Linked DNA regions of Drosophila melanogaster. The protein of the gene in region 2 interacts with the protein of the main gene of each other region in a biochemical or structural test. Each region holds a gene or a part of one and is shown on either strand. Other genes may lie near its edges.

Region 1 (10,829 bases), 1.9 Mb from region 2:
TCATACGAAATAATTTAAAGAATATACTTAATTATTAATTAAAAACATTTATATGTTTAATATCTTTCCTTGAGCAATCATAACCTTTAACGTTTCACTCCATCAATTTTATTTACATTTATCGACCCAAAAGCTTTCCTATTCGCTAATTCGCGGTCTTACCTTTGTCTGTTACCCTAACTAACTAACTAGGTGACTAACTGACTGACTAACTAACGTGATGATATAGTTGACAAAGTTGCCATACGAGGCGATTTGGAATCCGAGTCCGAAGATTTAAGTTCGTCCACCGATTCCGATTCTCTTATGGATGAGAGTGTTCATGAAGGGCGTCGCAAACAGTGAATTAGTAGAATTGCCGCCAGGAATGCGGAAATTAGTGACGTCCTGCCGCACAGGATGCTCCTTTGTGCCGAGCCAGAGTCTTTAATTAAGGAAACGAAGAGATGACATAGGAAAATAAACCAAAAGAAATATTACGGCATAAGTTCAATAAAATTGCAGGCCTAAACTGCAAGGTAAAAACTTTCAATCTCAAATGGCCATTTATAGGTAAATAATAAATTCAATTTAATTGTCTAATTTAGTTAACTGCCAATGGATATAGTTTCAATTTGATCGAAATAACGAAAAGATTGATAATCAAAATTGATAATTCAATTTGATCGAAATAACGAAAAGATTGATAATCAAAAGCAACTCACTTGCATTCGCATGCCTCAGAGGCATTTGATTGTTGAAATTGTCGTACTGCGATAGCGACGCACTGAGCGTCTTCTCGCGCCTCAGCTCCGGATAATTTTCAATTTCCGCAACGCATTTGAGCTCCAGGATTTTCCCGGCCTGGAAAAAGCGCTGCCCCTGCAAAAAGAATTGCACCTGAAGCCGCTGTCGCCTCAGTACATAATCATGGGCCGCCAAACTTGTGTCCGTTGTGGGATACAGTTCGCCTAAGAGCGGCTGCAAAGAGTGCAAAATTTAATTGAATTAGTTAAATACAAACTTTATAACGATAAACATTATCATAGCCTTTTGGTTATAACTATATTATTATGGCTCTTATTTAGTGAATGGAACAAACCTGCTCGCCATTGATGTACCAGGTGAGTCGAGTGGGCAGGCTGGAAAAATCCGATATGCAGGTGGCTTTAAGGTATTCCTCCATGCGATACATCGAGTTGAAGCTCTCGATTAGCGGGTCGTTCTGAGGCAGTGCTAAAATATTAAAATAAAAAATTATTTACTGAAATAGATGACCAAACTATTATGGAAAGCTCACCTGCAACAGTCATGTTGTCGGCCTTGTCCGCCAGCTTAAAATGGGGCGCATCGCCGCTAACTTCGCACTTATAGAGTCCTGTGGACTTGGCACCTTGTAAACTCAAATCCAGTCGACAGCTCGATTCGTTGCACACGTATTTCCCCTCCAGCACTTGCAGACCAGCCACATCGAAAGTCATGTAAATCGGACTCGTCAAGGGGGAATATCTAATCAGGATATTGAGTCATTGAGTATTTATTTTTTAGTAGAACTAGCAGTGGTTACCTGAAAAACTCCTCGTGATCTTTGTACCATTTGACCGAGTTTAGCGTGTGACCTCGCATATCGTAGCTGCAAGATAAGGTCACATTGTCCCGAAAATCTACGATCTCGGGCACACTGATATCCGTCACAAACAGAGCATATGCGATTGGGTAGTCTAGAACACATAAAGAAAAGTGTTACAAATGTGTATAGATCCAATATTCTATTGAAATTTTGCATTCCTTTTTAAAGCTTTTGATCATTTTGAGATGTTGTTTTCCCCAAAGAACTCGATGATCAACATATACCATATTTGTTGTACGAACCGTAGGGCGTGGCACATATGTATGCTTTAAGTATGGAATGACTTCGTATCCCCGAAATGCTGGATAGCAAAGCCCACAGGCCAATGGCAAAATTTTGTTGACCAAAATCCAGGGACATGTTCAGCGGTAGGTGTAGTATGCGTAATTTTTAATTTGCCCAGGTGACTGACCTGGGAAAATGGGAAAAGGTGGGGGAACACGGCTGGTGCTTTGTGTCCAAGTTCTGTCACATGAGACATCGAATAAATTTCAAATTTCTTGAAATGAATATGCAAAACAGTTAGTTGGGCAGACGACTACCTACGTAAGAGCAAGAAAAAAAGCAATGGATGTGGAGCCATATGTATCTGCCATATGGTAGTAGGTAGATTCTGACATGGCTGACCACCAACCCAATAAACAAGCAGTGGGTGGCTGGTCCAGCAACTGATAAGAAATGCGGACAAACCAAATGTCAAATGACTCGACTTTTGCCCCCACAAAAATAAATTTAACATGAGCCGATATGAGCGTATAAGAAGGAGTGCAAAGTAAAAGTAATTTTGCAACAGGACATGACAGATATTCAGCAGTTGGAAATCACTTATTTGGACGATGCTTAACTTCTGTAGGGATCTTATATTTGTAATTAAAAATCTGTTTTATAAGCTGAAATAGGTGTACAAATATTAGGCGATTCTGAAAAAGCGTTGGGATATGAAATTCCGGCTTAAAATACTTTTTAAGCGAGTGTATGAAAAAATGTACATAATTTATTATATATTCGGCTAACACCATTACATTTGTTTAAAGTAGTTCGATTTTACTAATGCTTTATTTACAATTTAAAAAACACCTTGTGCACTAACCACTAAAGCTTTTAGGCATTCTGCGCATATGCAAATTAACATAAACACAAACAATGTCGCACAATTACACAAATAAATATTTTATTCATATTTATTTGAGATACGTGTGATTAAATGTGGCAAATTGTTAGAATTCATTATGCTTTTAAATCAACGGAAAATAGTTAAAACTTTTAGCCATCCGAGGGAAAAACAACTAAATTTCCACTGCATAGGTTAAGCTGTGTCTCCAATAAAACGCAAAGAAAGGAGAGGGTTAAGCTGGGACTGAGATACCAACGTAGATATATTTACACCTCAGCACAGGAAAACTTTGCTGATAATTAACCTGCACATTTCATTCGAGAAAAGGCACACACATTTACCTACTCATACGTTTAACCCAAAGCCAACCCACTGAAATCCGCACACATATTCTCCCAAGTGAACACATGCATTTTTGGGACATGACCATCGCCGTACAAGTTTGGTGATAAATTCATTTGGAGATGCCGAGTTGAGACATTTATGCAAACATTTTTGCGGTGGCATGTTTTCTTGAAAATAATTCTATGTGGTTTAGTGGCGAAGATTTTCTTTCTAAAAATACATACTCAACTGTTTCACATAATGGAGTATAGCAAAAGTAGAGAAAAAAAGTCACACAACTTTTCTTTCTACCAAATACCTACTTATCAGCTAATCAAATTAATTTTTAAGTTTCTTTGTAGTTTGTTCATTAACTGTGAACAAAACAGGATAAAATCTCTAGAATCATAATCTTGAACTTAACTGTGTACAAATTTCTTTAGAGTTTGATAGTCTTTTGTGGTAAGCACAAATATATAGATATATAAATATATCTTCATTTTATTTGCTTGCGCAATATAAGCCACAAAGTGGAGAAAAAGAATCTATAAGAGTCTGGCAAACAGGCAAAGTGTTTTTCCTATTTTTAGTTGCGTATAAATCCGCAAATTAATTGGGTGCCATATGACTGAAGAGTCCAACAGATTTCAAAAGTAAATAAATAGGTCCCAAGCCTTTGCTATTTGTTGTAGTTTCTTTGCGGTTACCCAAGGCGACATCGTAAATTGGACGTCACACAATGGACAATATTTAATTCCATTAGGCAGGCCAAATTGTTGTTGCCGGCAAACACTCTTAATATAGAAGCGTCCACAGAAATTGAAAAGCTACAACTCCACAGCAGAACTTTTTCTGCAAATCCTTTCTCCGGCTCTCTTTGTGGTCAAAGCCTTTGTGTGCGTGTCCTGGATAGCATGAATTTCCTGCATGAAAGTTTTCCGAGGTGAGTGTGGAAAATGTACCAGTGCCCGTGCAAAAAAAATCGCAGGGAATAGCACTTAATCTATCCACAGATTCTATCAGTAGGTCAGAAGGTACTATACGGTAATAAAATATATATAACATATTGTTGGTTAGATAAAAAATATAAAAAAATAATATTTAACAACGGAGTAAGTTAAACATTTTTATTTTAAATATACATGGGTTATACATTTCTGACAATTGTGCATAACTACATGGCACACTCTATAAACATTCTTTAGAATCATAAAGTTGTAGAATCTTCTTTTTTACACTAGCCAATTCTAAACATTTATTAGTTCATATCAAGCTTGCCAGAACTCTAACCAATTGCAAGTTAGTAGGTTGAAAAGAAAAAGTGAAAACCTGCTTTGGCAGTTGAACTCTTCCAGCACTCTCGCACACATGATGGAATACAATTTCTAGTTCTCGACGAGAAGAGTGAAAAGCGGAGTGAGCCAGCTCATTTAATGCGCTCCAAATTAATTGCCCCATTGCCATTGGCAATTCGAGTGCAGGGGGGAATAACAAGTCGTGGAAAAGCGGGTAAATGCGGAGGGCGGCTGCCTTTGGCAGTTTGCCTAATTGCGAGCATTTCAAAAATACAATTTAAGTTTAAACTGCACTCAAGATGTGCTGCTACTGCTGCTGCTACTGCTGCATCAGCAAAAGTTCAGGCAGCAGAAATTACCGAATGCCAAAAGGGTCGGCAATGGGAAGGGGGGGCAAGTGCAGCAACCACTGAAACTGCGGCAGCCGTTGAAATTATGGCAAAAGTCATTAAAACAGCCGGAGGCAAAAACTTTGCCAATATTGATTTGAGGTCGGTGTTCTCGGTAAACACCAATAACAATTAAAATAATAACAAACCGATTCACAATAAACGACAAGGGCGATTTGTCCGGATCACATTACGCATACGCACCGTTGCCTGCAAATCCCCGCGAGCGCTTCATTAACCAAACAAACACTGCACTGAATGCACTGCAACCAAATGTCAATCCCCGAAAACCATAAAAAAATAATATTAATTTCCTCCGTTTCGAGCGGCGGAGGACCACAAAAACTTACCAATTAAAAGTGCGATGAACAGAAACATCAGCCAGCCGTAATCCATTTTTTGTCGTCGTCCTTATTGTTGCTCTTGTTTGAATAAAATTAATTGCTTCCAGTTATTGTTGCTCTCGGCTTTTGCAGTGGCGTTGATTTATGCAGTTTATCCCCGTCCTATCTCCAAGTATCCCTTTGTATCGAGTGTTTGGAGTCGGAAAGAACGCCCAAAAAAACTAGAATCGAACAAGCAAGTGGAGGTCAAACGAGTAGCTCAATTAATTGAACACTGTGTCAAAAGGAGACGTACAAAAGAAGGACTCAAAACCCACAGCGAGATGGAGTAACGGCACAAGAGAATATAAATAAATAAACTCAGCGACAAACTCATGCAGAAAAGTTCAAAGGATACGCTCTGTCAGTGTCGTTATAAATAAATAACAAACGTTAGAGCATTTCGGAAAAAAGTAACAAAGTCCAAGGAGCTGGAGACAGGATATACACGGAGAAAATAAAAATTGGCATGTAAGTAGTGCTTGACAAGTACACGTTTTATGTTTATTATTCAAATATTTATTTTGGATTGTATAAAAAATAATCAGGAAGTAAATATAATATAAGTAAATATGAACCTTCTACTAGTCCAATTAGAATAAGACAGAAAATGGTGTGCTATCAAAATTTGATATTTTATTATCTTAGCAAGTTAAGTTGTTAACTTGTCTTCGACGTATCTCATGAGCACTTTACTTCTCTGTGTACGAACTGGCTTAAAAGGGAAAGCAGGAAAAAACAGAGAAAACAAGGACGTGTGGGCGTGGCAGACGCCCTGGCATCCTGTCTTGTTGTACTTCTCGTGTAGGAGTGTGTGTGCGTTTGTCAACTTAAATAATTTAAATGCCAAATTCAAACGAATCCATGTGTTTAATATTTGAATAAGCCATCCACCTGCCACGACCACGCCCCCTTTTCGTTTGAGACCCCGTGCTCCAGTACCTTTTTTCCTTAGGTTTCTTGGTTTACGTTCACTTTATTTTTGGCTCGGTTGTTCTTGTCAATTTAGGTTTTGTCGGAGTTAACATTAAACTGAAATTGAAGCACTCAACGGAAGCGGAAGTTGCCAGTCCAGTGCAATTTAAACTTGTTTCGTTTTTGTTTAGCAAGGTTCAAGAGTACTTTCGGAACTTCTGCCTTTTTCTTTTCACTTGGCAGCTTGGCTTCGCTTAGATTTTTTGGGTTAATATTTACTTCACGCTTGGGTTAATTGACCTTTCGGCAGGACTGATGAAGTGTGTATATATTCCGTCTTACAGATATTAAGTTATATGACACAATAACGAATTACGATTTTCTTTATTTGAATTAATAATCTCCATGTGTTTGTGTGGTTTTTGTTTTTATATTGTGCCCGATTCGGTCGGCGATTGAGGACTTCTGTGGAAAGTATCTCCGCGCGGCTTCAGGCTTACGAACTGACTGAAGCTGCGACTCGGATTCGTGAGTTCAACTTCACGGATGCCACTGCTGTCGGCTGCGCAGTCGGCGTTGCCGTCTCTGAAGGACTTCGTGACCGGCTGTCGTGTAATATGGTGCGCTCAGCATCTGAAAGGACCTCGGGAGCATCACGATGCTCGGTTACACGACAGCTGAGCCTGTAACGGGACCCATGGGGCCGCGAGAGTCGATCCCAAAGAGCGTATCTAAGAGAGGCGATGAGATTTGTAGCTTTGTCGCCCAGTCTGTTGGCATTCTGCATAATGGATGTTATTCTTAACAGCATAAATGTTATTTTTAACAGGCCTAAACATAACATTTATTAGATTTGTCATATGGAGGATATACTCTGTTATTTAATGTAAAATGATTGCCTTAAGTTTTTCAATATTTAATGATATCTAAATATAAATAAAAACTTAGAAACTTGAATAAACAACATTGCATTCATCTTGAAATTCCACAATTTTATGATCGCTGGAATTTTAAAACCCCTTTAACAGTTAGTTTTAGCCGGTTAATTTAGCCAGTAACAGGCCCGTATGAATGGCCCGTTAATACTGCGGCCATCTCAAAAAGTTTGCTTTAAAACCAAAAACACCTTGTGCTCTGTTGTTGCTCTTGCCAGTGCGTGTTTTATAGTTAACGGATATCCTTGGTAGTTAAATGCAGACAACAAACTGAGCAGACCGAAGGAAAAGTCCGTGTTGCAGCTGCATGTAAAAATATTACGTGCATAGTGGGCTGCTCCTCCAGCGAGGGAGGTGGTACGTGGGTGTGATGGCGGTTGTTCGCTTGCTGGTGTGGGCGGGATTCTAGAGCGAATGACGACGACGGCAGCACAAAGTCATCTTATCATTTCATGAATAATGCAGGGATTTGTTAGGGACACATGACTGGAATTTTACGCAAAAGTTGTGATGATGTTGCTGCTGCTGCTGCTTCTACTGCTACTGCTGCTGCTGCTTCTTTTCCCTTTGCCAACCGCCAACACTTTGAGGTTGTTGCTATTGTTGCTGCTGTATGTTACTATAAAACTGCAGTCTGCTGGGTGCGGCAATCAACAGAAAATTGCAGATTTTAAATTCAAAGCATTTTGCTCGCTGTCCCTTTTAAGCTCGCTTCCTAGCTTGTTGGCCCACCTTCCCTTTTTCGTCCTGTAACTTAATTCCAACGAATAATTTCTGATGCCCGAATATGAATATTAAAACAAAAGCAACGTGCGCCTGAGCATATGCGACACTTTCTTTTGCTGTAAATGGCGTTTCCGGATCCGGTTTACTCGCACGGTACCTGCCTTCATCTGCCAGCTATTTATTTTATGCGAATTTCGCTCATCTCCGCTCGCAAGTAACGTGACAACTCAAACTTTATGCCAAGCAGCAGAAAGTTAAAAAGAATAGAAAAAAGGTATGCACAAAAACTTGCCAAAAAATGCAGAAGCTGCGCCAGCTCCCCACACACACACACACGCATCTGGATGGAGATCCGTCTGCACGAGGGTGGGATAAAAAAGTTTTCCTGAAAATAAATCAGAAATTTTAAAAATTCATAACTTTAAGTTTGCTTTATGACTTTTGTTTATAACGTGTTACCACACTACGTATGCGTTTCACTCGCCTCGAAAACTTGTCCGCCCCAAAGGGCCTCAATAATTAATAAGATATGCTCAAATATGCGGGGAGCAAGCTAGAATTATTCTGAAAAACTCGCAAAAAACTGCAGACTTTTATCTACCGCTTGCATATTCGTATGCAAAGGTTGTTTGGTTGAAAATATCAACCCCAGAGCTCTGAAATAAATTTTTTCCGTGATTCTTTTCAGTCTGACATTGCAGTGTGAAATAATAAGTTGCTAAATCTACGACACATATTCTAGATAACCTGTTTATTAAAAATATAATACTAATTAAATGTTTTACAGATGTTCGAAACATTTTATTGTTAATGTTTGCATGTCTAAGTCTTTGCTTTTTACAGGCGTAGGCTTCGAAAGACTGTCTTTTCGTAAAAGGTTGTTCTCCAGCGGATCGACCTATAAATTGAGGACTACTTACCTTCCCCTAGGACTCCATCACATTGACACACTTTTTCTCCCCAACTTCTGCAAGATGCCTGCAATCAAGGAGCCGTCATTTTTGGCCGCAATTGGTTCATCCTAAGAACGCTTTTCGCTGCCTTCCGTACAGTGTAGTGAGAGAAATTACCCCATCAAAGCCTGATATTTTAAATATGTATAAACTATGTTAAGAAATTGCATAAAATATATCTTTTTTATGTTTTTTTTTTCATTCTAAAAGTTTTACTTGCCGTCTGTTTGCTTTAAAAATTGCATGATTACTAAGCCAAACATTCTATGTTACAGTGTTGTTATGAATTTTTATACAGTTACCTTAATGAAAAACTAAATTGTCAATCAGCCATGAATTGAATCAAATGAAGTGTAAAATTACAATTTCATCCAATTTGCAATTAACTCGACGAGAAGATGGCAAAAAGAGGAGAATTCCTTTTTTCCAATTTCAAATTATTCCAATGGAACGCACATGCAGCTGGACGGCGAAGGGTTTTGTATTCGTATCTGTGCGATTCGCTGGCTGTTTACAACATATATATGTATATATGTATCTATGTGGGAACTTTCACTAGGAAACAACATTTTGTGGGTGGGGGAAAACCGCCGTCAACGGTTAGGGAAAGGGTGCGCTTTTCTTCTGGCTGCAAGGCACCTGGAAAAGTGCAAGTTTAATTGCATCGAGTGTAACTAGTTAATGGCTGAAATTGCAAATTGAAATGGTGACAAAGTAATTGAGGTCAGGAAACTCCCCTCGGAGTCGTCGAATCGAGCGCTAATTACAAAACGGCCATTGCAGCTGCCAATGGGGTCACTTGGCAGGTTTTCCGTGCGTCGCGTCGCATAGCATTGCATAGCAGAGCATCGTGTTTCGTTTCATTTTCCGGCCATATCGGAAAATATGCAACAGCAATTGCCACGGCAACAACGGCAGCTGCCAAAGTTGTGCGGAATGTCAAAGTTTCCCCATTTCCGTCCCGCCTGCACTCTAAAAACATTTACAAATTGATTTTTTGTTGCCGCTGTCATGTTCGCAAAATATATATTTTTTGGCTTTTTAAATGGCTAGGCACAAAGCCGCAACGGGACTTACGCACATTCGAATACCGAAAGCGAACTGACGTATTTAATGGAACTTTTTGGCACAATAATAAAATGTCCGTAATAAAACGGTCATTTGCATGTTCATTTCAGCAGGGCCGCCATAAATGCAAACAACTGGATTTCGCTAAACCAAATTCGAAAGTGCTGATGCCGGACGATGGCTAAAATTAGCGTTTGCCATTTGCTTGTTAGCCATGTCCCCCGACAAAATGCTTTTTGACACGACCCATGGATATTAGTGGCTGCCAATGAAAATTTATTGAGTGGAGAACCGCAACTGAAAAACTCTTAATTCGTCAGTTTATAAACAAGGTGATTGAACCTGAAGCCTAGCACTTAATTGCACGAAAACACAATGAAACTTGTACTCTACCTTCTCAAAAAAAATCCATTTAACGTAAAAGTATCAAATTATTTTGATAGTATCAAATCATTTCAGTATCAATAAGACCTTAAGTGGCAAAAAATTTAAATATTTTACAGCTACTTGGTATAAACGCAATTTATTGTTTGATTTACACAACAAACAGTAAGTATACGCTCGACACTGAAATTTCCATTAATTTCTGTTTTTATTGCTTTATATTATGCAGATCTAATCGAAACTACATTCTTTTAATGGACCTCTCTTCACTTTACATTAAATACTTTATATATTTAAAGGCTGTGAAGTAGAGTTTTTTTTTTATTAATTGCAAATAATAAATCGTTATTACCATGCGATCCACAAACATTTGTGAAACAATCAATCATTGGCAAATTAAGTTAAATATTCCCAAGAGCTCTTTTGAAGTATCAATAGCCTCCAATTAAACGAGCGTTGCATCACTGTCCCATCGCCCCTTTAGAAAAACTTAACAAGGGCGAATTTATTTAAAAAAAGTTCATAGGTGAAAATGCCAACTCCCAGCAGTAAAAAGTATTTACAGCATGTCAAGAAGGTTGGAAATTTAAGACACAATAAAAATCATAAATACCCTTTCCAATATTAATATATAATATATAATATAATATATATATATTAACTTTAATGTAGTTCTATTTTTCAATTTAAGTTAATAATTTTTTACACGTAAAAATTGCACATCAAAATGTACA
Region 2 (11,218 bases):
TTCGTAACATTCGAAATAAATAGTCCTTTGTTGTTCACAACTTAGCCGAAAATGTATTTCACAGCAAAAGTGTTCTCAAGAAGACGAGCAAGAACTATTCGTTCGTCCTGTCTAACTATTTTTAATTTTCCAAACACGTTTTCTTGGTGGAAAAATCCTTTAAAAAATAAAACAAGAAACCGAGAAAACAAATAGAAAGTCGTGGCTAGCAAGAGAAAAAAATTGTTGCAACTAGTGTAGTTTGTTTATGTTAAATGCGCGGTATTCATGTGTGTGTGCTTGTGCGTTTGTGAGTGTGTGTTGAGGGAAAATGGCAACAGTGTTTGCAATGGTGTGGGTGTGCCAAAACTTTAGCTTAGCTTAACGCGTGTCCTTGTGCGCTCGTCACAGCTTGTAGTTGTAGTTGTTACTTTAAACATAGACCGCAGGCAAGAGAATTGAAGAGGGTGAAAAGCGGGAAGGGATCTAGAAAAAACCCACAGGGGCGGAAAGTGCAGTGAAGGGGCAAAGGAGGGGCCATGTGACTGACAGCACACTGCGAAGAGAAAACTTTGCGTTTTGCCTAAGTGACGACGTGCGACAAGCGGCGGCAGTTGGCCAAAAAAGAACTGGCCAACACTGCAAAAAATGTACTTAACTGGTATATACTTATATGCTATACTTCCTTATAATTGAATTTTATATAATAATTTTAAAAACCAAAGCCAAAGCTAGATCTAAAGAGATTTAAAATAGAATTAAAGCATACAGAAAAGATTAATAACTTTTATTATTATCAGCTAGTTGAGGAATGGCAATTTTGTCGCTATAATCGAAAATTTTTTAATGACGTTTTGTCCTCAGCTAGTTGTCATATTTTTCTTAGTGGAAAACATTGTTGTCCCACACACTTGCTACTTGCAACTGTGTTTGTCCTCCTCCCGCCAGGACTTTTAATATTTAAGGAAGCCTGGTTCTGGCCAGGAGGCTCCCATCGTCCATCGTCAATCGTCCGTCTGCCGCTGCTGCGTTTGCTTGCCTCACTGGCTGCCAACAGCTAGAAAGCAGTGGCAAAAGCAGCAACAGCACCAACATCGACTCACACACACAGCAACATGTGTTAAAAGTTTTTGTTGCAAGGACTTGGTTACACCTCTGCGGCTGGCTGTGAATCTAGATTGCTGCAACAAGGAGTTGCCGGCGCCGGTGCTGCTGTTTCCTTTTAGTTCGGCTTCCCCCAGCTTTTTTGCAAGTTTCGGTAAACTTGCCACTTGGCCAAAAAGCAGAAGACTTGTCCCCGCCATGCTCCCAATGGAATGTATCTCAATGTGTGGTAAAATAAATTTACAGCTTGACCGAAAGGAAGCAAGATAGAAGGACAGACAAAGGAGTAGAAAAACGTTCTCAGAAGCACAACGAATGCGAAACACTCTTAATACTTGTTACTGTCTCATTATGTCCTTAAAGAAGTATATATTATTATGCATCTCTTTGCTCAATAGATAATTATCATAAATTAATTATGTAATTATTTTCTGTTAAGTACAAAGGCAATTACTATCAAGCCAAGTAGATGGAAATCAACATTCTAATGCCCCGCCCACACATTGCACTTATACATTCGAATATCTTACCTGATGAATAATTAACGGATAACTTTTTAGCCTGCCAAAGGACAAAGCAATCCTTTGAGTACCCATTGGTCAGTTTGATGGGCGCCACATTCCAGCCCAGTCCGTTCGGTTTCTGTGGTTACTATTTGAAGTTTTGATTAATTAATGAGTGAAACCCATCTGAGGTTCGCCCGCCAGAGGTTGAAAAAGGTCTCAATGACTTGGCTCTGGCAGGCTGTAATTTCGTATTGCTTGCTATTCATTAGCAGGCCATCAGTAACCGTATCCAATTTGAGCCTGACGCTCCAAATTCGATTCGTCCTCAGTTTAATTGAGTGTTTGATTTAATTATAGACCATTTAAATGCCGTTGTGCTGCCGCTGTTGGTGCTGCATCATTAAGCATTGATTACGAAAGCTGATTAATTAGTTGCCCTGCCCGCACACATAGGCATGTTGATGCCATGGCACACTCTCTCACACACACACACACACACACGCCTAGTCCTATTTATGACAATTCATCAAAAGTGCGTTATAATTATGTAATTGTTGCTCACAGCGCGTCGTATTCGCATGCAAATTGCGTGTGTTGTCGGGCTAATTGTGATTGCAGGGCTCTGGTTTGCTAGTTTTTTTTTTTAAGCGGTTAGGAGAAGTCAAATTTGAGACCAGCGCCAAAAGCTTTCCGATGCACCATCACCAACTCAACTTTTAATGACAAAACGTTGAACACCGCTTGGCCCTAACTTTGCCCAGCTCATTTCAGCTCAGTTCACTTTGGAAAAATTTCGAAATTTCGATAAAAATTCGACCTAAATATTTGATAAGCAGTTAGTTCTCTAAATCGCCGTAGCTTCACTTTAGAATATTCATCTTTCTTTCACCAAATTATCTTGAACACCCTTTAAAGTGCACACATTTAATTAGCCGAATTTATTTTCGACAGTGTGTGCTCATCATCAGGGAGCGGTGGCCACAGAAACCGCCGTCTCATGATTTAAATTTAATGCAACTTTTGCTTTATAGCCAAACTGTCGCGCACACAGACACACATCACACAGAACCCCCACCCACCCACACACACACATTAATGTAAAAGCTATAAAGTCATGTGCAACACCATTGCCACTTCCGGGCGGTGGCAACAGCAGCAAAACAGGAGCAGCTGCAGACCCAGGAGCAGGAGCAGGAGCGGAGCAGGATCAGCCGCCGGTTCGGGACTCTCTGGCAGCTATTTGGTCACTGCACTTAGTGCACTTCCTTTGCTCGCATTGCTGGGGTTTTTCGCCAGCCAGGGAAAAGGGGTTAAGGGTTTTTTAAACTTGCTACTCATTTCGGATTGGGGTAGTTGGAAATAATACTGCATTATTACTTATACTTAAAAGAAATCAACAAATTAAAATTAATAAATGATAAAATGATTATAAGATATAAGGAAACTGAAACAATACATCTATTGCAAAATCTAAAATACAACAACTAATGGGTATCAAATCGGCCATTCCTGATTAGTTTTAGACTGATTCTGGTGCAGCTGCTCTCGTTGCTGCCGCCTGATGAAATGCCATGCTTGGCGGTTGAGCGTTGAGATTTTGTAGGAACAGAAGACCGACAATCTACACCACACACGAAACTGCATGTGTGTGTGAGTGTCGTCCTGGGCTTTTGATTATGTGTGTGTGAGTGATGGAATTTTGCAGTTTTAGTTAATGTTTAGCCAGCGCTATTTTGGCCCAAAGAATGTCGCGTGGAGGAGCCAAATACTTTGACAACATCACCAGTTACATTTTCTATATGTGCACACTATATATATATATGGGGAAAGTAAGGAAAAAGAGTCCGCGAGTGTGTGTGTGTGTGTGTGTGTGCTGACGAAAGTGGTTTAGTGCTATCTTCATTTCGGCATTGGATTTGCCATTAGAGTTTGGCCAAGCGTGTAAATGAAATTTGATAAGATTAGGCTGTGCAATTGTTGCAGTGCTACCCATGTGTCCCATTCTTCATCCTTTGAGTGGATCGCCTTGCAAAGCGAGAGCTTTCCTTGAGTGGTATAAGAGTGAAACCGTTGGAAATTTTGAAAAAATCCCATTCATGCCAAGCAAAAGTTTTCGCGTTCCACAATTCATTCGGTTTTTTTTTTGCTGGTTTCGGGCGCATGTCTGGCGAAACCACGCTTTCGAAATCGAAAAGAGAGCCAGAGAAAGCCGAGAGAAAGTTCAGAGAAAGCGTGAGAGATGCGAGCTTCGGGTCTCGTGGTCCCATGTCAACTTACATGCTTACACCCCATTGTAGTAGAGTTTTTTTTGTAAGCGGTGTGATGCGTGATTTTGATGGTGGTGTAGGTTAAGTTGTAGCGGTGCCATTTTTTAGCCTACACCTTGAGGAAATCAATCAGGAAATTCTGATTAATTAATCACTCAGCTGGGCTTACATTTTGGGTTTAATAAGTAGGACATTAGAGTTTCTTAAAACGATGCCAGAACCCGGAAATGGTTCTATTGGTCTTTTATTCACCTATACGGACTTTATATATTTAATTGGGTTTATAGTCTTACTGCATGAACTTTAGCCAAACATTAGTGAAGTATTCATTGTAATCTGTGATCCTTGACTGGCTGCCTTGACCAGCGAAACTGCAGTAAGTGCGAGATGCTCTTGGTAACCGCTTTCTGAAACTCTCATTCATCTAGGTAGATGCGATTTTGAAGAGAGGCAGACATCGTGAGTTCGATGGAAACGCAAAAGAGAGGGAAAGCAAAAGGTTCCACAGGAATGCGTGGTGGAATATGTTTTTAGAAGGTTCGCAAGGGCAAAAGGGTGTTGAGGTAGGACTGGACACCCACGGCAGGGGGGAAGGGAAGTGGAAAGTCGCAAATAAATCATGATCGGGATTTCATATTGATATACTTCCATCATCATGGCAGCATATTCAAAAATATTGGTTCAAAAAACAATAAAAACATTTGGGATCCTTTCAAGTAAGGTATAAGATGATTTTTAATACAAGATATAGTCAACAAGGTGAATACTTTTCATAACTTTTAGTATTATTATCAATAGATAAAAATAAGAAGTGATTTATTTTTTCATTCACAAACATCTTTTTTATCTTTTGCCCCTGGTAGTTTATATTTCGTTTTTAAAACTTGACAATTCAAGTTCATGAAGCGTTTGAGGTAAGCTTACCTACCACTTGGCTTCCACAGATTGACAACCAAGACGACTTTTGGATTTTACAACCAAAACTCTTATACTCTGGCCCTTGCCAGCCGTTCTGGCTTTCGAAATCGAATCGGCGGCAAGTGTTGGCCCACTTACAAGGCTCACACACACACACACACAGGGAAACCCAAAGGATTCGACTGTTCGGCAAAGTCGAAAATGCGCGACCCGAGCGAAAGCCGAAGGATCCGAATCGTGGAGGGCGATGGCAAAAGTGGCCAAAGCCACGAATGAATGGCCAGGCGCTTTAGTACTGAAAAGGTCGTGGATTTGTGTAGTTGTCGTGCTCCGTTGCCGCCGTTTGTCGTTCTCGTTTTCGTTGTCGTGTTGTCGTTGTCGTTGTCGCTGTCGTACGGGCGGCATCGCATCGCATCGCATCGCCTCACATCGCGTAGCCGCAGTGTTGACCGTCCGCATCCGCAAACTGGCGAACGAAGCAATTGGGCTGGAAATCAAGAAACAAGTGCCACCCAACCTAGTCAAAAGTATATATCTCAATCGGTTATCGCAATTGTTGAATGCTGAATATACAACAACCAAATAAAAATAGAAAAACGTCAAGCGAGACGAGAGTGCACGTGCTAGAAGTAGAAGTAGAAACATCTCAAACGCCTGCGTTAAGTTTCTGAATGTGTTGTTATGCAAATCGCGTCCTTTTTGGCTTGAGGCAACAATACAGTGAGTGTATGTGAGTGAGTGCGATTGGGAGCGTGTATGTGTGTGCCGCAGTTACAGTGTACGACTATATATATGTGCGCTTGTGTACGCGCCCACAATGCATAAATCAAAATACACATTATTGAGCCATAAATAAAGTTCGCATCGGCTGCTACTTTAAATATTGGCCTCGCGGCTGGCGGCGATTCGAAGACGAGAAAGTTAGCAGCAGAAGCAAAGCAAAAGCAAGGCCGACGAAATCGAAATTTATGCCTCGCACCCGCCAAATACTTTGCCATATTTTTTGCTCAATTGCCTGCCGCTGCTCCTCCAACTCCTTCAGCTCCTTTTCATATGATGTGTGTGCGTCTCGCTGGCTGCATAAAAACTCGCTTAATGCCAACACGCCCTCTACAGGAGCAATAAGCAATAAGCACAGCAGCAGCAACAACTCCATTTCCTCCTAACCCCTGAGGGCTGATTTTATTACAAAGGCCGTAAAAAACGCCAAAAAGCGGAGTAAACGCCACAGCAAAAGGATACAATACGGCCGAAACAGGGGTAAGTGCATGTGGGAAGTAAATATCTACCAAAATAAACGTACATATACTTTTGTACCGACAAACCTAATCTTCAGACGAAAGTGAGCGCTCAAAAGTATGCTAAGAATAATAATGCAGGCCATTGTGCTAAGAAGGTTGAAGCATTAAAAATAGAAACATTTATTCTATTCAGCTTGGAGGTATGTGGAAATGTAATGGTATTAAAGTGAAAACAATTCCACACAAAAGGCCTGAATACAAGAAATAAATTCAGTGCTTAATTCAGTGCAGTCTTCTTGTAATAATAATTCGGAATTGAATGAAAATAAAGAGTTTTATTGGAAACAAATCTAAGACGGTGTAGGAAAATTGGAGGATTTAAATATCTTTTAGGAATTTCATTCCTAATTCCCTAATATTAAAGAATCATTTTGTTGTCAACGAATGGCAGCAAAATATTGTATCAAAAAATGGTAAAACAATTATGGAAAACCAAACGCTTGTTACGTTACTTATTAGTTAAAGGAATTTTAAATCTTTTCAAAGCTGTTGAACACAACTTGTGCTTTCTTAAATTCTTCAGCTGCGAATAAATTTTTTATAATCATTTGTCAGACTTTGCTGGTATAAAGCTTTATAAGTTTAGTCATCAGTATTGCTGAAATTCCCTGCTGATCTCTTTGAAGGCACAACGCCAAAGTGGGTCACACAGATGAGTGGAACTTACAATTTGTCTGCGATTGTGTCAGGGATAATATTTCCCATTGCCTTTGATCATTTTGTTGATGCCGGGGTGTCAGTTAGTCAGTCTGAGAAGTGCGTTAGTCTATCCCGAGGAGACATAAGCCATGGAAATCATATTAAAATGCTGTCTGTGCATAACCTACTTTTTATTTCTATATACATACATATATGGCAAGCAGAGTAGTATACAACTCAGTGAGTCTCGCACCCGGTTGCATTGTGGACTGGCTGGCTGGTAACATTCGTATTCGCATTCGCACATATATTGTTGCCATTTCACTTTTGCTGAGCACGTCTTCGCATGTGGATGTGGATGTGAATGTGAATGTGAATGTGGATATGGGTAAGGGTATATGTGTGGCTATGGGTATGGGTGTTGGCAAGGCTGCAGGCTCTTGCCAAATGCGCTTTGTTGCCGCCATTGTCAACATGGCCAGAAACGAGGAGCGGCAGCAGGAAATTTTTGCATTTTTCGGCTCAGTCAACGCAACGTGGCTTGGCAACAGGCCAGGGATGCATCAGGGGTGGGGAGCTATCTCAGATCTGATTTTCTGCAGAGCTTAAATTATTAAAAGCCTGGTCCAAAAGTTAAGGCTTCTTCTCGCATAAATCAAGCTGGCCAGGGGACAACCTGGCGTATGCGCAACTTTAATAACATGAGCAGCAGCTGCAAAAGTTTCGCCTGTCAGGGGGAGCAAGTTTAATGCAGCATGTAAATATTGTCATGACACACGAAAACTTTCACTGGCCCTTTGTTGACAGGCTCTTGAGGACAACGGCTGAAAGGATGCGAGTTGGTGTGTGTAGACAGACGAGATTTATGAGCACAAATGGAAGACGAAGCGTGTGACTCGCATAAAGCTCGGAGTGAAAAGTTTCACAATTAATTTTAATAGTTAATAGCGGAACTATCCAAGATGAATTTTGGGACATCCGATATAAGCAGCAGGTTGCTGGGAACAGCGGAAAATAAATATATATATATATACATAAGCAGAATAAACATTTTCCTAATATTGAATTATTTTTACGTTACACTTTAACCCTAACAAAATTACATATGAAAAAACCAGATTTAAATGTATTAACTAATATATGGGCCATTCAAATGAAAACATGATAATATATTGTAGTTTTGTTTTACCTTTCGAAGAAAAGGGCCATAAAAAAGTGAATTTAATAGGAATCGATTACATAGTTTGTCAGATTTAAAAAATACAAATTAAAGACTGAATCACAGTACATTTTTAAAGGTTTTATTTGTATGAAAGAATTGGGTTTTGGAGAAACCAAAAAAGAAAACCAATGGGTACATTACAGGAGCCCACAAATCGCGATATCAAATGACCTGAGGTGTACTAATTAAAACCATTTTTAAATTAAACAACGCTGAGGAATATCACGTTCGTACTTTAATCAAATGAAATGATTTAATTTGTTTTTTTATGTTGATCAAAGAAGTACATGCTTTATAGCACGTATTTCTCTTTGCCAAATCGTCCCTTCTCTTTCAAATGGAAGCGCTTTAAATCACACTGGCGAATATCACATTTCAAAGTAAAGAAGAATTGAAATCAAAGCTTTTGCTGTACAAAGCCAAATAATCCATCAAGTGGCATTAACTTGAAACAATAAATTTCACACACAGCTGCAGAGGTAAGCCCAAACCAACATAGGTCTCGAACAACTAGAGCTCTGGCACTTGAAGTGCTTGACAACTAATCAGGTTTCAAATGCCTAAGCACACACACTCGTACACTGCTCGAAAAAAGTGTAAGAGTATCGGGCAAGGGGAAATAAATCCGTTCAGAGTGTCGGTAATCAAAGCTGCTTACAGCCTGCGCTTTTATTGTATTTTATGGGGAATTGAGCATCGGTTTTGCGCAAATATCTTTGCGGATTTTATTTTGTGCCCAATACAGTAGATGGGAATGACCGATTGAATTTCGTTGGAAAACCTATCTAAATTTGGCTTTGAATAATTGGTTGAATAGCTTAACTTGAGGAACGAACTTATACGTCTTCTTGTATTAATGTATAAATAAATGATTGGAAAACTATTAAATATAAGATACGGAAGATTAACAAAAGAAGAGCTCATTATTGTTAATTCTTATTTCTAAATCGTAGTCATGCCTGGACTGGAAATGGGAACAAATTGTTTAAAAATATGAAGCCATGCATTCAGTCCGGCCAATAAGCAGACAACGATTGCCTGAAGTTTTACAAAATAACTGAGAATAATAATGTACTTTCAATGTTGACCAGTACACAACATTAAAGGAGGACCGAAGGCGGGCAAAGCCGTACCATAAAAAGCAAAATCCGAAGGATGAAATTTTTTTAGATGGGGCATTACTTGCTGCAGAAAATGAACCCATTCAAATGGTCGACCCAAATCTGCACGGGGCAAGAAAATGAAGGAGTGCAACAGCATAAAAAGTAAAAGAGCAACATGAGCTCAAAACTACGGCCAGAACTCAACTGGCATATTGCTATAGCCCCGGAATATAGTAAACTTTGCACTAGTTGCAAGGAAAGAGTATAGGGATTACAACAAGAACTATACTCAATAGTTTCATAGGGTTTCGAAAGCATTCCCGATTACCATTTTTGTTTTATATAGCTACATTATATCTTGTTTTTAAAACCATTTATTTATGTTTCATTTTTCTTATGTTGCGCCACGTTTCTATCAAAAGGTAATACCATCATATCGTAAAACTATAAAAGCCCTGACAGTTAGTTATGCAAAGTGTATTAAAAGCATCGTCTTGCTGGGCAACTTTCAACTCTCTCCCACACTTTTTCCCTCCTTGGGGCTTTTAGTTTTCCACCAGTTTCCCTCTGCGTTTACCGTTGGCATTGTGTGCGCATAATAGTCTGAAATTAAATCAGCGAGCGCGTGGGTAACTTAAAATAATAGCCATTGCTTATGTTTAAGTAAAATATGTACTTTGTGTACGAAATAAGTGACCGGGATGGAGAGAGCAGACCGGGATGAAGTTCCTGCAGCTGCTGCGTCCTTTTTTCTCTCTCTCTCCTGATTTCGGACTGCTTGCTTATTTCCGTTTCCGCTTGGCCTGCTGCTTGCTGCATTTTTTATTACCAGCTCACCGTTCTGGCACATTATTTAGACCGCTCCCGACCACCTACTCTCTCTCCATTACATTTCGTTTTATTATAGAATTTCCATTGCATACTTTGGGAGAGGCGCCCAAGAGCTTAGCTTGATTTTTAGCTGCAGTTTCGCTGGGGTTATCACTGGCTAAGAACAAACAAAAATTTGGCTACACTATAATTTAAGGCTGACAGGGTAACATTCTCCGATTCCCCGTCTCTATTGACACTGGCTAGTGTCTGTAATTCTCTGTTTGCCCAACTATTGTCAGTGGGAAATTTCGGTGCGACTGCGGCAGATATATTTCAATAATAATAATTAATATAACGAAACAGAGACTACGACTGCTTGGAACTATTGATTTATGGCCTTTGGTAAATTGTGGCACTTAGTGTAATTGTTTATGTATATGCCAAAGGTTCTACAAATGGGGTCTGGGGTAGCCACTTGATTAGCCTTCACACACCGACATGAGTACACCTACCCTGGGTTGTACTCCTGACATACCTGAAAACATCTGGAAAGCACACGCACACACACTATTGACATACATTTTCCAAAAATTTCATTACGATTTTAATTGAATTATTCATTTCCATTCAAGCTAGGCAATTTGTTTGCCATTCCAGCTTTTCGTATAGAGCTCAACTTTATTTTAACTGATTGTTTAGCTGTGACCATGCTTTGCAACCATTTCAAAATAGTTACTTAAATATTAATTTCATATCGTTTAACTCTCATTTAAATTCAAATGTTTCTCTCTGTACTGTAATTAGTACTTCGGGTAGACTTACTAATTCATTGACAATTATAAAAAATGTTTTCATAAATTAAACATTTCTTTTATTAAATTTAGGGAGATATTCAATTAAATTTAATGTTCTTCTTATAAAGCAATTGCTTACAGAAACGTCCATTCAAATCTGTACTTTTCCGTTTATTTGCTAATTTTTAAGTTCCTTAAACAAATCGATAGCAGACTGAGCGGAAACTTTTGCTGCTTGTATTAAAAAAACATTTACTTACCCAAAATGTAGGAAGATAAACCACAGCAAAACAAACATGCAAACGAAATGAGCGGAAGCAGACTTCTGGCATATGAAATGAGCAAATAAAAGAGACATTCAATTATCTAAAAAGCAAAACAAATATGAAAATTAATTTGACATGTTTGACATTTTGGGCAAACACTGGCATGAACATGAAAGGGGGCGCAGGGGCGTGGTCGACTGAGAGTGACAGAAAATGCCAGAAAAACATTTGATTAACCCAGATAAAAGGGCATGCAGAATAGGTCTGGGGATTGGGGAAAATGGCATGACAAACGCTTAACTCTTT
Region 3 (10,814 bases), 1.9 Mb from region 2:
ATATGACAAGAATGAATAACTTCAAAAGGTATTTAATGGAAAAGTTTAGGATGACTGACCTAAATGAAATAAAACATTTTATTGGAATTAGGATAGAGATGCAGGAAGATAAAATCTATTTAAGCCAATCTGCATATGTTAAAAAAATTTTAAGTAAATTTAACATGGAAAATTGTAATGCAGTTAGTACTCCTTTACCTAGTAAAATAAATTATGAATTACTTAATTCAGATGAAGACTGCAATACCCCATGCCGTAGCCTCATAGGATGTTTAATGTACATAATGCTTTGTACACGCCCAGATTTAACTACTGCAGTAAATATCTTGAGCAGATATAGTAGCAAAAATAACTCCGAATTATGGCAGAACTTAAAAAGAGTTCTTAGATATTTGAAGGGCACTATCGATATGAAATTGATTTTTAAAAAGAACTTGGCATTTGAAAATAAAATTATTGGTTATGTGGATTCTGATTGGGCTGGTAGTGAAATTGATAGAAAAAGTACAACAGGGTATTTATTCAAAATGTTTGATTTTAATCTCATTTGTTGGAATACAAAGAGACAGAACTCAGTAGCAGCCTCATCAACTGAAGCTGAGTATATGGCCCTATTTGAAGCCGTGAGAGAAGCTCTATGGCTTAAATTTTTATTAACTAGTATTAACATTAAACTAGAAAACCCCATTAAAATTTACGAAGACAATCAAGGCTGTATTAGCATAGCAAACAATCCCTCATGTCATAAACGAGCTAAACATATTGATATTAAATATCATTTTGCCAGAGAGCAAGTTCAGAATAATGTGATTTGTCTTGAGTATATTCCTACAGAGAATCAACTGGCTGACATATTTACAAAACCGTTGCCTGCTGCGAGATTTGTGGAGTTACGAGACAAATTGGGTTTGCTGCAAGACGACCAATCGAATGCTGAATGAAATTTTTTATATATATTTTTCAAATTTAAATTCCTGTAAACATATTTTGTTACAATGATCTGATCGGGTTTTTCTGGGTTTTCCCCGTATCCTCGCAGCAAATGCTGGATCAGTTAACACTTCCCAGAATGCACACCACCCACATTTGATAGTTACTAATGAATATTATTGTTATGTTTTTAATTATAGACGTTATTTTTGAGGGGGCGTGTTGGAATATACTATTCAACCTACAAAAATAACGTTAAACAACACTACTTTATATTTGATATGAATGGCCACACCTTTTATGCCATAAAACATATTGTAAGAGAATACCACTCTTTTTATTCCTTCTTTCCTTCTTGTACGTTTTTGCTGTGAGTAGGTCGTGGTGCTGGTGTTGCAGTTGAAATAACTTAAAATATAAATCATAAAACTCAAACATAAACTTGACTATTTATTTATTTATTAAGAAAGGAAATATAAATTATAAATTACAACATAAACTTTATGGCACTTGGGGCCGGCAACGACTCCTCGTTGCTGTAGCCAAATATTTATTTTCGTAGCAGGCAGCCACTGTTTGCAGTGAATTTTAAGAGCGTCTATAAATTTTAGAAAAGTGCAAATAAAATATAGCGACCGGCAGAGAGACGATTTTTACACAGTGGGGTAAATCCTTTAAGGCGTATTCCGGGTTGAAATTGTCGCATTTATGTTTGGTTTATGCAAATGTTCTGCCATCGCAGCCGAGTGTCCTGGCATTTGTCAATGTCTGCGTCTATGTCCTTGTCCTTGCCATTTGAGGTTCCTCAAACAATGCATGAGCTCGTTAAAGGGGAAACCCAACCAACTGTGCACATCATTTGACATTTTGTTCGACACTCTTTTTTTTGGTAATAAATACGTTTTGCATATTGCAAATTTGCATAACCAAATAATGTTCAATAAATTTACAGAATAGTAAAAGGGGTCAATTTAAATTTAATTTAAACGGCGACGAAACAAAAGCGCTGAAAATACACTTCACCAAAATGTTTTGGCAATCAATATATTTTCGTTTAAATTCGGTTAGAATCGTTTAATCGTGTCGAATGCATCACGGCGAGATTGCTGCAACTTTTTTAATATTTTCTCATTATTAACTGCACGTTTATGACTTTATGCTTTGCACAAAAGTGCAAACTTTTCATATTCCGGAACTGTAATGTGGTAAAATTATGAGTATCAAATATTTGCTCTTGCATATAAAACTCGGAAAATATTCCGTAATAAATGTTTATAAATAAAATGTTCTATTTTTAGCAGGTCCTTTTTCTTGCTACCAGCGTTGACTTGTTTTTTTTGTATTTCCCTCGTAGAATATTGCTTATCCGCCGTGTTGCCAGAGCAACAAAAGTGGAAAAAGAAAGCTTATCTGTGGCAGACACATTAAAGCTAATTGAAATTATTATTTTTATTTGCGTTCCAAGTTCTGTACGTTTCGGTTCATTTTGTCTTTCATTGGCCATAATTAAAAGTGTATTTAAAAAACAATTTCGGCGGCATAAAATTAACATAAATTGATGCGGTCGAGGTCGGGTCAGCAGAGAAAATCAGCAGCGACCGGGTCAAAAGGCGGCGACACCCAAACAAACACATTTATTGCTATGCTAATTTCGTGTTCGGGTCACACAGAAGCCAAATGCACAAAAGCGCCGAGCGGAAACGGAAATGCCTAAACGACTATAGTCATAGTGTGTGTGTCTGTATATGTAAGCGGGAGCCACAAAGTTGCCGACAACGTGGACTTTGTCGTAAAAAAGGTTTGCGGCGGCTTGCCAAAGGATTAAAAGCAAAAGGCAATAAAATGAAAAGTTTCAAATATTTTCATTATTATGGCCCAGGACCGGGTTCTCCATAGGAGATATCCTGTGGCCAGTACTTTAACGTTAACTTACCCAGCAGCATGTGCACGCCCAGCTGCAGCAGCCAGCGGCCCAGGTCCATTGTGGGCAGCCGCCTTTAAAGTCCCCAGCTGATTTCGATCCACCTCTCTGGCCACATGGAACAATATCGAGGCGGGACGATGTTGATGGGAAGGCGAGAAACTTTGCTCCTTTTTGGCCAAACTCAATGGCCGGCCATATTTTCTATTAGTCCAAACTTTCGGGGGCAAAACTTTTTCTGGTCTACGCGCCGCCTCTCATGATTACATCGTCCTTTATCTACATAGATATAGTTTCGATATCGATAAATGCCATTGACAGGTCAGCAGGCCAATGAGCTAGAAAAATAAGTGAAGAGTCCTGGATAGCTTAAAAAAATCTTTCACTTTACCATTTTGTTTTAAGGTTATTCGATTTTAAAACTTTTTTGGCGTCCAAGCGCAAAATATATTCTTTGTCTAATAACTGTGCACGCAAAGAAAAGAGGTTCAGTAGCCGTACTGAAAAACCAGTTAAAATATAATATAAAATCCATTTATAACATTTAATGGTACTGCATATATATTGATTCTGAAATATCACAAATATATGTTAAAACCCAAATGATCTAATATGACCATTTTTCTCTGTGCATCTATAGACCACTCCCTCGCCCGCACATGTCTGACTTTTGTAAAGTTTCGGCTCGGCTCCGTTTTTTATTAAACTTTTCTCGGCTTTTTTTTCGCTTTCATTCTGTTTGGCCACTGCATTTGTTTATTGTCATTGTCAGCGTTATTTAAACGTTGACAGTTTCAAAAATACACCAAGCTCCAGCAGCAGCATAGGCAAAACAAAAAAAAAAAAAAAATTGAAAATATAGCAGACAACTTTGTCTGCTTCAGAAGCCAAAAATTCTCATAGCTGGCCGAGGTCCAGGCAAAATCTGAAAGTCTGGGGAACAGACATCCTGACCTCGGCAGGACGCTTCAGGCTTTGTGGCACAAAGTCCTTTAATGCTCTAATCAAATTGTGGCTTCTTTTTTGTGGGCTTCCCCTCGCTAAAACTGTTGTTATTGTTGCTGATGCTGTCCTCATTGTTTTGGTTTCATTGACGCGTTTATTAAAATTACCGTGGCAAAGTTTTTGCTGCGGAACGGCACTTTATTTTTCAAAAACAGACGGTGAGCCTCTGAACTATGAGATGGCCGTTGACAACTAAAATTTTTCGCTTAATACACAGGTGGTCAAGTAAAGTAAATAAACAGATTACAATTATTATTGGAACGGACAGAAACAGGTCGGAAAAAGAAGGACTGACTGCAATGTGTATCAGTAAATATTTCAAATATTTAAATCAACGCACACCTAAATTAGACAAAAAAATTATTTCAAAAGTCAATAAATGACAAATGTTTTGTTTTCACTGCATTCATTTTTGAATCTTGCAAGAAAAACGACACCTTCTTTATGTTATAAATTCATAAATTTTTGTACTAGCTTTATGTTTGTTTCACTAAAGCTGTAAATCGTTATCTATCATTTTAGATGAGTAAGCAAACCATATCATTGTCAAATCGAAAAGCGAAAAGTCATTGTTCTTCTGCTAGTTTGAACACTTGTTAATTGAATTATTTTTATGCAATTTATATTGCTGATTGACAAGATCTGGACGAGTAGTAGATGCCAGACAATAAAAATATTTTGACAAAAATATGATTTGCAATTCCCCAAGCCAAGAATGCCACTCAAGCATGCACATGACAGATAACGAAATCAAATCGAGGACTACGCAAATGCACAAAAATACGATTCACATACTAGAGAGCAGACAACAATTAAAATGGTTCGAATTGATTGTTGCAAAAGTAGACTACGCTTATGCAATTAGACAAATGCTTTGTGAGACTGACTTGCTGATGAATCACCAGGACTTTTCCCCAAGGCGCTCAAAATCTCGAAAATCGTCTGTCTTCCAATTATAATATAAATATCAAATTAATGGCAATATCAGGTCGCACTTGACGTTTCCATTTCCTTTTCGATTTCAAGTGGTAGTTGCAGTTGTTTGGCATATCAATTTGCTCTCAATTTGTTTTGCATTAACATGGCGTATACGCAACATGTTTCCCATCGAAGTAGACAATGTCAAGCACTCACACATACACTCATATCCGCATGACCCCAAATGTAACTCACACGTGCACACCCAGCGCGAGAGAGAGAGAGTGGGAAAACGATAGTGACTTAAACAGCTCTGCTTGAAGCTGAGTTAATTACTTAATGGCAATGTAATGTATACACATACATAATTAACAAACATTTCATTGACTGGCTTAAATGACACACATGCACACCAACACACACGTCTGCAGTCCTCTCTTTCCCGCATACATACCCCTCTCTTTCGGTACGGATGTCTAAAATCTACACATGACTTTTGAAATATTTATGCACTTTCAGTCTGCCAATGCTGCTGCACCGCCATTTTGCGATCTATTACAAAATTTGCATAAATCCATAATTTCACAGCACGTGTGCGATAATTTTGATATATTAGATTTTCAACTTGAATTTAAATTTTTAAATTTGCTCCATTGCCCTGTGTGTTCCTCTTTTGTCTGTTGACGTCGATTTAAAAACAACAGATGGACCGTACCGTATCGCTCGGCAGCGCTTTCCCTTCGTACCGCTCCGCACCAAAGTTGCCGTAAAACTGACTACGGCCAGCGGACTCCGGATTCGGGATTCCGGCACGGATTCTGGGGAACTCTTTGATGCCGCGGTTGTACTTTCGCAAGACCTCCGCCGACACAGCTTCGTTTTAAGTCGGGAGTTTCACAGAGATTTCTCTCATTTGGAGAACGGCATTGAAAGAGAAGGCCAAAGGCCGTGTCATTGGGCGCGGTATGGCTCTTGGATTTTCTCTGGTTTTAATGGTGTTAAAAACTGTTGGGATGCTGGTTCTGTTAGCTTGTGGCTTTGTAGCGTCTGTTAAGGGTCTGTAATGTAAGGCTAACAGAGCGGAGACTTTGAAATCAACAGATGTTAGGCCGGGACATTGCATGTTAGTACTAACATTGACCTCAACAGAGTATGTAAAAGAGAGTAACAGAATTTGATTCTTATTTTGCGAACTTGAAAGTATAGTAATATAACAAATATTATATAAAAGCCATCCATATATGGAATGCTTCGGCTACAACTAAAACAAACTAATATTATAATATTTTTCTAATATGCGTTTAATGGCGTGAACCAAATTGTACCAAAAATACCCCTGCAGCTTTTACTTATTACAATAATGATAATATATTATCAATAAATAAGGCTGTAAAGTATGCCCTAGGGCTAGAACCTAACAAAATAAACTACAACCTTTTTCACCAAAAAAGAATTGAGTAAATCCCTCAGATAAAATCCAATACAAAGTTGCTTAGCAGGAGAATTAACCCGCGACGGCCTTGTGCACTGAAGTAGACAATTGAAAACAACATTCTCTACCCAATGTCAACCCACTCGTGGCGATGTGGCGGCCAAATCCTATTAGCCACATGCCACTCCTTGTCGCTGTTGGCCGCATTTTGGCCGGCAGACACGGCGGAATGCATCCTGCAGCTTAAGCCGCAGCTGCAGTATCAGCTTGGCTCGAAAAGAAATGGAATTTCGACGGCAAGCCGCTTAGTTTCTTATCGATTTCATTTGTTTTGCTTGAAACGGGCTGCCGGGTATGGGGCGGAACTGCAAGGGGGCGTGGCGGGGTATTTGGCGAAACAAATGGCGAATGGCTGCAGTTATCAGTTACTCACAGAGTTGCAGCTGCTGCTCTTGGCAAGGCCAAACCGGGGTTATCTCATTTTGTTCCCGATCCTGTAGCTGAAGTCTCTGCAGCTGTCAGCCAGGCTGATGTTAATGTTGTGCTGTGGTTTGTTCAACTCCTGTCATTCCGATGAAACACACTGCCATTGTTGCAGACACTGAAAAAAATGGCGAGCAGAATATAAATTCTTATTCTTATTTACAAAATGTGTCCGTGCAGTGAAAAAGAACACTAAAATCGATTACACTTAGAGAATAATTATATAAGAATAGGATCAACCGTGAATAAATAAGTAACTTTGTGCTTCCAATCCATTTGTCCCATAGTTGTCATGTACAACTTTTAATTCAATAACGACAGCCCAAACTTTTAAGATAATTATTTTCTTTCATTCATTAAGCTGTCAAATAAAATATCCCCCCTATAATGCAAATGAGTTTACCTTTAATGGGCTGCAAGTTGATGGTTAAATTAAATTGTGTTAAAAATAAAATCAACTCAAATCAATTCAAATGAATTTTCCACTCAGCTCGGCCGGCAATAATTAATTTTTGTACATTTTCGTCACAGCCACTGGTAGCTTGTTAAAAATCAATAAAGCTTATGGGCTTAATGAGCTCGCTAGGTGATGTCACACGCCCTCGACGTTCGTTCGCATTAAGCTGATTTAATATTCAAGTATTTATTGAATATATTTCACACTTTTTGCCACCAACTTACATCGCCATGAACTGAAAATAATCGAGCATATTTATTTAATTTCAGGCATTATTGTCGCCTGCCCTCTCCGGGGATTTGGGCCAGGTCACGATGCAAGCTCGTAAACTATGTGGAATTTGGCACAATCCGATTACTTAGTCCACTGGAGGTATGCAATTTTTCGCGGGGATCTTCTTTAATTGAATTAACTTTAAAAAATGTTAGGACTATTAAACAAGCTGAACAAAGCATTAAACTTTATAGGATTCGAAAAAAAATATCCTAAATGTTTGATTTTAATTTAGTAGGATTTTTATGCATGCAGAAATTTAGTAACTTTTGTGAATGGCATTATCAGATATTTTAGAGTGTGCTTTAAGTATGATTCAACCAATATATGAGACCGTGACAAATTTTTGCTGCGGTAACCCTCGAATAAAGTGCACTTAAATGCTTGAAAAATTGATTAAAACGTGGGCCAGAAAGTATGCCGATGCAATGGTAAATATATGACCACAGCGATTTCCCCCCGGTCAAAGGCCATTCTCGTATTTTGCCGTTGTTGTCGCCGGTAAAGTTCTTGCGGTAAAGTTTTTATTTTGGCCTTTTTTCCGGGCAATAGCTGCATATCCGTAGATGGCACGTGAGTTTCCCGTACCCGGCGCATGACCAAGGGACTAATGGCACTCTCACACACTCGCACACTTGTCACGTGTTTAGACTACAACAAATATGCTAAAAATGTTATGCCAAAAGCCATGCAGGCGATGGCACGATGGCTAAAGGGAGCAGGGCATTTGGATTTTGCATTTTACAGCACCCGAAGGCAGCGCAGCTGCTAAACTTGGCGCCGTTTGTTGCCATTTGCGAAAATGTGCGCGAGTATTTTAAAAATGCATTCCCCCACCTCACAGAATCCAGAACGGGACACATTCGACTGCATCCCATTCCACCCATCACGTTCTGGCCAAGTTAAGGAAGCCGGGACAGGAGCTTAGCTCATGGTCATATGATACTGAACGAAAAGGGTGCACCAAACGTTATGAAAAATGTCATTTAAAGAACAGGGTTCTAATGAGGCATAATTAGTACAAAGAATTTACCTTAAAATATATGTAAATAATAGGTTGAACTATATGAGATACATATATTTTTTCTTAAATTTAAAATGACATTCTCAAAAACTGACAAAGTAGAAGGCATGTGAAACTTTATAGAACTTTTGTTTTAAGTTTAAACCTTTTCTTCTTTCAATATTCTTTCACATTTTTGAATCGTGTCATTGAGGCACAAGGGTTTCGGTAAGGATCAACCATACGGGAATGTGTCGTGTCATCTTGGTTCCTCGGGGATTAATGGAGTTGCAGCAGACGTGTCGTGTGGGTGGTCCCAACATGGCCAAGAACTGCCCCTTCCGCTGGCGCGATAAACTTCAAACATGATCGGGCAAAATTTACATTGAGTCAAAGTTTTGGTGGCTAAAAAGTTCTTGGCTCTTGATTTTTCATGAACTGCCATGGCCGTCTTCGTCTGGCGCTCTTGGCGGCTCATTATACAGATGAAAGGGAGGTTGGGCATGGGTTTTGGCCACTTGGCAAGATGCTCGCCACATTCCTAGGCAAATACTCGTAAATAAGCAGCCGCTGTGGCAACAATAATGCGACTATTGTCGCTGCTGCGCCCAAAAGTATGCAGCGAAATGCGAAAAACGAAAAAGGAGCCGCGGCAAGTTTATTAAAAATCTGAGTTTTCCCCGCCTTTCACCCACGGCCCCTGGTGTATTATTATTGTTTTCCTTTTTGGCCTTTCTTGCGCCTGTTTTATTTCATTCCTGCTGCTTTTTTTTGCTCATTTTTTTTGCCTTGTGATGTTTTTCGACGTTGGTTTGTTTTTATACCCTGACAGTGGGCATTCTATTTTTCTAAGAAAATTGTTAAATAACTAAACTAAATTATGGTATACAAATACAAATTAGCCCATTAACTTCATTATATCAAACAATATTGGCTTCCATTTTTTTGCTTTTTAGGATTCCTGAAAATTCGTAAGTTTAATGTGTCAAAGTAATTTTTTTTAATTGGCACTTTTGTTCTGCTGCTTCTATACAAGTTGATTAAAAGGGTATTTTAACAGTCGAATGTATTTGTTTTTTTTATTGCACCACTTGGCCCGGCTAGAGCTACATGCACTTGAGTTTCATTTGCTTGTTCTCCAGAATGGCCTCCGTTCACCACTACCACCCCCTGTTCGTCCTTCGTCCTTGCCGCCCCCGTCTCCCCCCTCACAATGTCAGAGAGTGCATTAAAAATTGTAGTGGCCCGAAAAGTTTTATGTACATTGCCAGAAAAAGCGGGATAGAGGGAACCCAGCGAGCGCCAAAAGAAAACCACAACAAAATGAAGTCGAAATGTTGCTGCCTGCTGTTGTTTCGCTTATTGTTCTTGTTGTTGCCTTGTTCTGGGCCATTATTATTGCCCATGATGTCGTTGTTGTTCCTGATGCTGCTGTTGCTTTTGTTGCTGTTGCAACTACTGCGGTGCAGTTCACTTTGTTAAATTATGTGCAGCATTTGTGGGCGCACTTTTTAGACCCGGCGACTGACCTTCGATCGCCACCCAACTCAACTCAAACCACCACCCACTCCCCTTTTGCGCGGAGCATTTTACTGAAGAGTCCGCGGGCGGAGAATAAAATTAATTATTATTCGTACAAAAAACTCAGCCTCAAGGAATTTATAGTGATTACCATTTATGAATATTCAGTAATGAGAAATACTTGAAGAAGCGATTACTTACTAAAACATTTTTAATATGTAATAGCTATAATTCTTATCTCAAATTAAATAAATTTATGATCAGATAATATCGATGTGCGTAAAGACAAATTCTATTAAATTAGAAAAAATATATCTTAATATTTTAAATGTAGCTTTTGCCACAATCTGAATCCGAGCCCCAACCATTGGGATCCACTTCAAATTTTGAGCATACAACCGATGTGGGGATAAATCGGTTTCGAATAAAATTCAATAAAGTTGAGAAAAAACTGATGAGATGAGTATGGAATCCAAGTCGAAGCGGCGGTCCCCTCCAAGCAGTACTCTTGAAGAAGAAGTTCCTGGAAAGACCATCCACCCTGAGGATCCGAAAATTACATCTAAAAACTTCGAGAATCCCACAAAAGAAACTTCCATCCAGAGCCCCATTAAGAACTCCATAAAACCATCGTGGAATCCAGAACCCAAGATCACTAGGACCTCCATATGGGACATTGAATCCGCAGGAGGGGATTCAATACAAAATGATTGTCAAAGTGAATGTAACGTTGAAGATCAAGGTCATGAGCAAGAGGTCACGTTGGAGACTAGGATATTTTCTGGAACCTCAGACCGCATTGAACCGCACCGACATTACGGCGTCTATTTGTTGCGCAACCGCTTCGATGCCATACAATTGCTCACCAGGA

The links.
Region 1: the proteins of side-VI (region 2) and beat-Va form a complex in vitro, tested with the Drosophila melanogaster proteins (one study listed by BioGRID).
Region 3: the proteins of side-VI (region 2) and beat-Vb form a complex in vitro, tested with the Drosophila melanogaster proteins (one study listed by BioGRID).

What each region holds. Positions count from the first base shown.
Region 1 is NT_033777.3:12,841,898-12,852,726, forward strand, and holds the start of beat-Va (beaten path Va), read right to left. Parts: upstream 6,523-10,829; 5' UTR 6,057-6,522; intron 5,297-6,056; 5' UTR 5,128-5,296; coding exon 5,082-5,127; intron 1,701-5,081; coding exon 1,547-1,700; intron 1,489-1,546; coding exon 1,280-1,488; intron 1,216-1,279; coding exon 1,082-1,215; intron 961-1,081; coding exon 705-960; intron 425-704; coding exon 321-424; 3' UTR 1-320.
Region 2 is NT_033777.3:10,967,316-10,978,533, forward strand, and holds the start of side-VI (sidestep VI), read left to right. Parts: upstream 1-5,065; 5' UTR 5,066-6,034; intron 6,035-11,218.
Region 3 is NT_033777.3:12,910,819-12,921,632, reverse strand, and holds the start of beat-Vb (beaten path Vb), read right to left. Parts: upstream 5,578-10,814; 5' UTR 5,490-5,577; exon of another isoform or gene 5,229-5,489; intron 3,190-5,228; 5' UTR 2,913-3,189; coding exon 2,864-2,912; intron 1-2,863. Other genes in the region: CG10909 (uncharacterized protein), read left to right, coding at 10,403-10,814.